Tribolium castaneum: one gene and its partner. The protein of the gene in region 2 binds, or shares a complex with, the protein of the main gene of each other region. Links are inferred from orthologs where the notes say so. Each region holds a gene or a part of one and is shown on either strand. Other genes may lie near its edges.

Evidence for each region.
Region 1: 7SK snRNA methylphosphate capping enzyme bin3 (region 2) and Larp7 share a complex: the UniProt entries of both Homo sapiens proteins name them as parts of the 7SK RNP complex. The link is inferred for Tribolium castaneum from reciprocal best matches to the Homo sapiens genes MEPCE and LARP7.

Annotation. Positions count from the first base shown.
Region 1 is NC_087394.1:30,501,713-30,506,240, forward strand, and holds the start of Larp7 (la-related protein 7), read right to left. Parts: upstream 3,099-4,528; 5' UTR 3,018-3,098; coding exon 2,843-3,017; intron 2,782-2,842; coding exon 1,944-2,781; intron 1,890-1,943; coding exon 1,667-1,889; intron 1,610-1,666; coding exon 1,331-1,609; 3' UTR 1,112-1,330; coding exon of another isoform or gene 836-1,111; 3' UTR 786-835; coding exon of another isoform or gene 414-785; 3' UTR 1-413. Other genes in the region: Gar1 (H/ACA ribonucleoprotein complex subunit 1), read left to right, coding at 414-785, 836-1,111. UniProt on the Homo sapiens protein: RNA-binding protein that specifically binds distinct small nuclear RNA (snRNAs) and regulates their processing and function.
Region 2 is NC_087395.1:19,351,076-19,355,640, forward strand, and holds the start of 7SK snRNA methylphosphate capping enzyme bin3, read right to left. Parts: upstream 2,838-4,565; 5' UTR 2,683-2,837; intron 1-2,682. UniProt on the Homo sapiens protein: S-adenosyl-L-methionine-dependent methyltransferase that adds a methylphosphate cap at the 5'-end of 7SK snRNA (7SK RNA), leading to stabilize it.

The DNA of each region.
Region 1 (4,528 bases), on a different chromosome or scaffold from region 2:
ATATTCGCAATGGAACCTTTCCCAGAACGAAGTCAAATAATTAATAATTATGCACTGTTGCTAGAATCAGCTTTAAATGGTTATTTCAACAAGAAAGGAAACCAATGGGAAGTGTGGGGCGTAGCAATATTTTGTTCAAGGTTAATTTAAAAATAAAATGTTTTTTTCCCTCAAAGTATGCAACTAATTATACACATGTGGTTTGAAGTTATAGCTTCATCTTCTAACTTTACAGTTTTCTGTTTTGATGGTAACTCAGAAAACTCCTAGAGGGCCCAAAGTTTAGGAGTGTTTACAGTTGGAGGTTACGTTTGCAGGAGAGGTTATGTTGCCGCACTGAAAATTTAGTGTAAACCACGTGTTTACAAAGGGACGCTCTTTTACGTTTCTAATTATTTGAGGAGTGAAACAAAATGTCTTTTCGTGGCCGAGGCGGCGGTGGTGGCGGCTTTGGAGGTCGTGGTCGTGGGGGCGGCGGCGCTCGAAATTTTGGTGGAGGCGGCGGGAGAAATAGTTTTGGTGGTCGCGGGGGCGGCGGGCGAAACTATGATCAAGGCCCTCCTGAGAGAGTGATTCCTTTGGGCTACTTCGATTACACCGTACAAGATGATTTAGTTGCTAAAGTAGAAATAGAAGACGTTCCATTTTTCAATGCGCCGATTTACCTCGAAAATAAGGAACAAATCGGAAAAATTGATGAAATTTTTGGAAATCTCAGAGATTATTACGTTTCGATACGTCTCGGAGACGACATAAAAGCTAGCAGTTTTAAAAAGAATCAAAAGGTATAAAAAAATTCACTTACCATTCACACATCTAAAATAATGTTTTGCAGTTGTTTATTGATCCTGCGAAGTTGTTACCACTTCAAAGATTCCTACCGAAGCCCCCAGGCTCAGTCCAGAAACGAGGCGGTCGAGGGGGAGGTCGTGGGGGTGGCGGAGGCCGCGGTGGTGGCAGAGGGGGCGGCAATCGCGGCGGGTTTGGAGGAAGAGGAGGCGGCAATTTCGGTGGACGTGGGGGTCGTGGGGGCGGCGGCGGTTTTAGAGGTGGTCGTGGGGGTGGATTTGGCGGCGGCCGAGGAGGGGGCGGCGGCGGCAAGAGGTGGTAGACTTGAAATTGTGACCAATGTTTTTTGTGGTTGGCAATTGTTCCATTAAGTGTATGAAATTTTTATTACGAAAATAGATCTATGAAAAATAAGAACTACAGGTTATTTCAAATTTTTGTGTGAATATGTCAGCAAACAACACGAAATGGATGGTGCCACTGTTTGACAAAGTTAATAAATAAAGAATATTTAAAAAAAATTTAAACTGAAAACAAAACCTTAATCATCAAATTTTGTATGTTTTGCTTTCTTTAACAGTTTGTCTCTACCACGTTGTTTCTTTTTTGCTTTGTTTAGTTTATCCTCACGATCTGTTTTAATTTTTTCCCAATATGAAGATTCTTCCTGTCCTGTTAATACCTCTTTTTTGCCAAAAGATTCTTGGGAGCAAAAATTTTTAGCGCCCTCCGTGGTGTTAAATCTTACATAAATGTTCTCACTGCCAGGGTTTGGAATATCTACGTACAATATATCAGCTGAAGAAGTTTTAATTTCATTCTGAAAAACGATTTATCGCAAATAAATTGGCCAAGATATTTAGTTTAGAAAATTTACCTTAAGTTTCTTTATATCCAGGGTAGCTTCGGTTAGCTTTATTTTTACAATAAGTCCCTTGGTAAAATCCTCTTTGTTGAGTTCAGTCTTAGCAGTGGGAGTTTTCGACTTTTGTTCATAATTTGGTTGATTAAACTTGGCTTTTAGAAGGTGTTTTTTAAACTCTTTCATTTTCTTCTTTTGTAAATCTAGATACCGATTTCGCATCTTTTTCCACTCTTTTCTAAAAAACAATTATTTATCAATGATTAAAGATAATTCTAGCTGCTTCACTTACTTTGATAACACTTGGAGGCCCAATTCTTTTATGTAATTTTTCTTTTTGTGTTCTTTTTTCAATTTCTTCTTTTTCTTATTTTCGGCATCGTCCGACTCAGAAACGTCTCCAGTATCATGTTTTGAATTTTTTTCTTTTTCGTCACTTTCACTGTGTTCATCATTTTCTTCAGTGTGCTTACTATCATCGACTTTCATTTTTTTCCCTTTTTCTTCACTTTCGCCGGATTCACTTTCTTCAAGTTTTCGTTTTCTTATTTTTTCCTCCGCTTTACTCTCACAGTGTTCACTATCTAGTTTTTCGCTATTCTCACTATTGTCTTCAAGTTTTCGCTTTTTTGTTGCCTTTTCGTCTTCTCCAGATTTTGGCTTCAGTGTAGAATTTTTAGAGGAAGCCTCAGATTGTTCATTACTTTCTTCAAATGTTTTAATACTACAAAGAGTTTCTGGTTCTGTATTTGACGGCATTTTGCAGCCAATGCTTTCAAAGTAATTTAAAGCATTTTGCGCTTCCTTTTCTTTCTCGAATTCGACAAAAGCAAAACCCTTTATGGCACTATTGTTTTTGTATTTTGGTATAGAAACGTAGACCACATTTCCAAATTCAGAAAAAACAGAGTTCAACCATTCATGAGTTGCATCGGATTTTAGGCGTTCTACATAAATCGTACAATCATCAACGTTAGCCTTTTCTTTAACCGGTTTTGTACGACGAATTCTACTACGATCTTCTGATAATTCGATTAACTGCGACTTTTGTACAGCTTTTTGGATATCATCTATGCTGGTTGTGAGTTTAGTAATTTTGTTAAATTTCAAAAATACGTTCAGGTCGACAACTGAAAAAAGTGCTTGGTATTTACCTACAACTACTCATAAAATAATCATATAGTCACTTACAAGGATTCTCCTTTATTAATTGAGATAGAAATCTATCTTTGGTGAGGTTAGAGTCGCTAAAATAAAATTCCATTTGCTGCAAAATGGAATTGTAGAGTTGCTTTTTTCGATGGCGACCTTTTTTAAGTATTGAATCGTCGTGTGCATTTGCATTTTCTTTCGTTTCATTTTCCATTTTCAATACTTTGCAGAAGTAAAAATGAAAATTATAACCTAACTTAGCGTTTGGAAATGAAATTGAAAAAGAAACTGCCGCCAACCATAGAAAAAAAATATTTGTTGGAGGTAAATTTGGTTGCCTAATTAAAAAAAATGTTTTTAGAATGCAAAAAAAATCATTTACTTTTTAAATTATACGCCGCTTACTCTTATTCATAGGAGATAGCTCTTATTCAAAAAATAATTATGTTTAGTTGTATCAATTACACCCATGCTACTCCTAGTGCATTGTGTGCTGCACTTTTTACCTAATCAGGCGTGAAGTCTTAAGTGAATAACTCTATGTATTTAGTTTAGATTATGAAAAAAAAACTTTTATACTTTATTAACTAATTTAATTAAGTTTTACCATGAATTTGAATAGTACTTCAAATCGTTTCAAATAATCCATTATGTGAAACTGAATACTCACCTTGATTTCATCTTTCTTAGAAACGAACTATAAAGTCACCGATAAAATGATAAAAGTAAGTTGTTTATTACATTAAGTTACTTAAATCACTGACATACTTATATTGTTTGCCTTATGGATTGTGAAATTTAAACATCAGCACGTATAAGTACTGATGTTATCGCCTTAGCAACATATAAGCCACCAACTTGAGCAATCTTACAATAGGTTTAAATTTTATGAAACCATAAGTAAAATTATTCATCAGATTAAATTACAACAGTCATTTAAAAAAAACATTTATCATAACTAACTCATAGTATCTTTGCCGATGTTTTTTCGTGCTTATTTATTATTTAACTATGTACTTTTGGAGATGTTTTTATCTTTTGGCTTTTGGCCACAATTAATGAGGCAAATTCAAAATAAAAAGTTATAGTATGTACATTTGCAAAGATATTTTGAAAAACACATTAATTTTTTTAATTGTTAGTCCTTGCAATTTTAATTTAATTCTGGTCTAAAAGAATCATTGATCCACAATATTGATCCGTAAATGTATAAGTTTTTTCTAGTTAAAAGTTTAAAATAATACGAAATACAAAATAACAACAAACAAACAAAGAAAACAAACGTTAGAATAACTACAACTTGTCCTATCCAAATGTTTATAACTACTTTTTGTATTTAGATACACCAGCTATCAATAAAAAAAGTCAAGTGACTTAAATTAAAACTTTGTACCCTATTCATATCATTTATGTGTGTACTTAATTGTACTCACATTGTAAAACGATTTACTGATGTCATTGTTTTATTAACAAGTAGATAACAAGCATTTAAGTCATCAAGATAAATTAGGCTTAAGTCTTTTATCTAAGTCACTCAAACTAACGTCTGCATGAAGTTTTAGCAGACGATAGGCAAGTGGATAATGTTACAATAATTATAAGCACGTTCAATCATCATACAACCTGAATACCTACTTATAGATTATTATTTATCTTTTTGTCAATTTTTTTCCGATTTCTTTTTAAAAATGAGGTAAATACACTCATTTTATAAAAATGTAAAAA
Region 2 (4,565 bases):
ATAAGGAAATGTAAAGGTAAAGGTGTTTCAAGGCAAAGATTCTTCTTAGTTTTTTTTAAATGTTGTCTAGTAGGTATTTCGTCTTTTGCAATTATTTAAAACCTTCTTCCTAATAAGACAATATTATTACTTAAGTTCTAGCTGTAAAGACAAATTAGTTAGAAAAAAATGGCCATTTTACATTTTTTTGTAATTTTGCAGTAAGCGAAGGGTTACACCGTTGTTTTTACCAACACCATGTATAAATATTTTACCCAAAAAAAATCTATCGTAATATTTCATTTATTTCAACCACTTGCAAGCAATTTAATTATTATCTCTTAAAATCAACTGAAAACTTAATTTAATTTATTTTTTTCAGAATTTTTCTACAATTCCTTAAGCAATTATAGGCCGGTTTATAGAAAACTTCATTAATTTCTAATTCGTTGTTAAAACTTAACAACGCGAATAAACTAATCACAGGCGAATAGACTAATCACATTGGTTCAATTTGGTCACGTGATCTGTTAATCAGTGAAATTAATGACGCTTCTATAAACCGGTCCTAAAATTTATGAATTATTAATTATTATTAACTGTTATTTTTTGTGTCATCTGAAAACAAGCAATACTTAAATGTTGTCCTGTGATAAAAATCCATAAAAAATGTCGCTAGCCCCAAAAATAATAAATAAAGTTATAAATTCAAAATTTAAATAAACGTAATTTTAGGGCTACCAAAATTTATTTTATAAGAATTTTTGCTCGAAAACATTTAGACATCGTTGTTTTAGAATAACACTAAGGGTCGGTTTATAGAAAGCTTTATTAAAATATAATTCTTTGGGCGCATTTACCAGGTTTATAGAAAGCTCAATTAAAGTTAACTGCCTTGTTAAAAGTTAACAACGCGAATGGACCAACCAAATTGCTTTAATTTGGTCATGTGATCAGTTAATCACGCATTTAATTGTGGATTAAAATAATGACGATTCCATAAACCAACCCCATTTTTTTAATTTCATTATATTAATACAAATTTAATAAATTAACTTAACGGTAATTCAAAATTACCGGACAATCTCTCGGGTGCGGATAAAGGACATCAAAGAGAATTAAAAATTCCTATGACAAAAATTGTTTTAGCCTTTTTCCACGAGCTATAACTACTCAAAGTAGAATTTTTCAGTTAAGTTTTTGGTGATTCAGATTACATGTTTTTTGACGTTTTGCGTAAACGACAAAAAAATCAAAAATTAATGTCATATGATGTACAAAACAATTAAAAAACTCGCAAATTCGCTAATAAATAAAATTCGACATCATAGGAAACAAAAGAGCAAAAATCGATACACCTGCTAAAGAAAACAAATTAAAAAATATATAAAAAAATGACTTCTTAGAAAAAATATTTAACTTCATTTTTGTCCTTAATTGAATGTCTTTTATCACCATACGAGAGTTTGTCCGACACTTTTGAATCACCTTGTAAAGAAGAGTAAAAAAATTTGGAAAAATTTCACATACATAGCAAAAAACTTAATAGGCCGGTTTATAGAAAGCTCCCTTAAATTTTAATTCGTTGTTAAAAGTTAACAACGTGAATAGACCAATCATTTGTTCACGTGATCAGTTGATCACGCATTTAATTGCGAATTAGATTATTGACGCTTCTATAAACCGTCACTATGTATTTAACAGTGAATACTGAATGCGGTGCGACCATTAGTTTCTGAGAATAGTGAAACATACTTTTAGCAGACTCACCCCGTATATACTCAACTATTTCTTGGTTTCGGCACGGTTTGAAGCTTGGCTATATTTTCAATATGCAAAATGTCAGTTGTAACAAGATCTAACGTGTTGGCAACGAAGTAATCATATATTATATGCCTGGATTTTTTATCAATGAAATATGTAAAAATAAATAACCCACACGCAATATCAACGATAAAAGATTCTTATTACAAAAAAAGTAACAACAAAACTGCCATTATTCATGCAAACATGCATTTTTGTCAAACAGCCAAATTACAAATTAATTACAAATATCTGGGTGTAATGTAAGTATATTGACAGAAGATAGCGATTAAATTCGACTTAGGTGACTTGATGATAGACATTTTATAAATACTCTGTATTCTTGTACAAGCCGTTGCGTGTATTCTGATTTTTCGGTCGCACTTCGGTTACAGTTGTCTAAGATCAAGGATTTGACTATTTCTAATTTAATCCGTCAACACATTAAATATTTATGACCAATCTAAATGCACCAATAACTGCAATAAATTATTCTTATCGTAATCGGTATAATACACAACACCTCAAATAAATCAGATAATTAATTACCATCGATTAAATTAATTAAACTAAAAATGTGACGTTAAATTCCGGCCGGAGCGTATAATAAACGTCCGGATTCCCGCAATTTGATAACAAACCCGCGAAAGCAGTGTTCAATTAGGAACCTTCCCACTGAGCAAACTCCCGACTAAATAACCCTCTCCGAAGTTCACCTCAGCGGTGGCCCTTCTAAATTTACGAAAATTTCGAAAAAGCCCGGCACCCCAAGTTCCCGCAAAAAATCGGCACTGCGCACGCGCACACCGGAACAAACATGTATGCCACTGCGGAGATCGACGTTGGCTATCGTTTTGGGCGAAAACTCCTCACAGATTACATAAATGTCAAAAAATTTACCTTCAACGTGTCCGGCGTGGCTTCAGCTTTCGTTTGATGCCCTTTGAGGGCCACTTTTCCCTTAGGTTCCGCTGAAAAACGGCCGAAAAAGAGACTTCACTTTGCAACGCACCGTCTGAACGACTACAAATCGTTGTGCTTGTAAACTAGACTCCATTTTAATATCAGTGCCGGAGTTTGCCGAAGCGGAGCCGATGAGGGACGATGGGCGATTTAGCGAGGAGTTGAAAAGTGTTATGTTCCTAATTATGTAATTTTCGGGTAATTGGGGAGGTAACCGAAAGGTATTGCGGATGATTGCGTTTTTTCGACGTTCTAAATTCGCGACCTAATTAACCGGAATTGATTATTTGAAAATGTGTCGATACGGTCCTGGAGTTTTATTGGCGCAAATGATCATAAATTCGAACCACTTATAATTATTGGGAAATAATTAGTTTTTCCTGCTGAAGGAGTGGCTGAATTCACAATTGGAAACATTCTTGAAAAGTTTTGTTTATAGTCTGTTGTAACACCTGCTTCGAATGCACTTCGTAAATATTTTTGGACAATATATTTGTATTTTATTTTTGGATGACGTGCCAAAATTGCTTGTCTTCCGTTGTACAAAGTGTGTTATTTATTAGTCATATTTATAGGATCTCGATGTGATGTTTACCTTATTACTCCAATGCGAAAATAGATATTTAAGTTTGAATGCAGCTTTATAGTTTATGAAACCATCTTCTGTATCTTTTCGATCGGACTTTTTATGCTTTATCTAGTAGTAATTTTTATTTGCAAAATTATGACATGTTAAAGGTGAAAATGGCAAATAGTCTTAAAAAATTTGGTTTGTATCTTTAGGTATACTAGAAACATAAATAATTGTCGACCTTGAAATAAATTTTTATCAGGTTATTAGTTTTTAGACGTTTTACGAGCGGTAACTGGACAACTGGCGAAATATCTATAACCACAAAGTCAGTTTTTCTTTTCATAATTTTATCTCTTTCAAGAAATATACAGGCTGCTCCAAAACTGGTGCACCAGCTCACTGGTAAAATGTTGGAAAGCATGTGTAGATCATATGAAAAATCTTGAAAAAATTCCTAGTCATATTCAAAAAAATATGAAGCTACAAACTTAGTTTACTGACTTCTTCAGTTTTCATTATTTTTTAATGTTTCTATGTTTCACACTAAGTAATCGTTCCCCAACGTAATGAATAATTATTTTAAAAATTACTATCTGACTTTAGCAGTTCCTTGGATTTAAAAAAATAAAATTTATCCAAAAATCACAATTTGTAGATGTGCCAACATTGGGATTTCCTATGAAACCACTTCAAAAGTTATTCATTTTTATTGTTGATCGGGATCTATTGCGATCTCGATTGTTAGACAACGTTGCCACAATCATTTCTTTAAAGTTTGTTATTTACCAATTAAAAAAAAATATTTTTACCTTTTTATGAAAGCATTTCTCTACCGCGTAGCATTGAGTTGGTGCGGCTGTTGTTGAGCACCCGGTACAAGGTGTTAAAATAATAATGTAAGATATTTAAGGAGGTGATATGGTATGGACTAAACTAAACAAAAAGGTCTTTTCTAATAGAACATACACTTTTGACAGCTTTTTCAAGGGTGCACAAAATGCTGCTTGGCAATGTTTCATAAATTGTTTCAAAAGGTGTTCAAATACTTTCAAAATTTGGAACATGTTTTTAAGAACAAAATCTTATCTTTGAATCAGACGAGTGGTTTGGTTAATATTTTGTCTAGCCACCTATTTTTCAGAATTGAATAATCTAATAGTAATTGTAATACAAAAAACGTGTGTTAAAGTGTCATTTTTTATCTTGAGGTAATTTTTTACTCATAGTTGAAAGATCACTTTAAAAA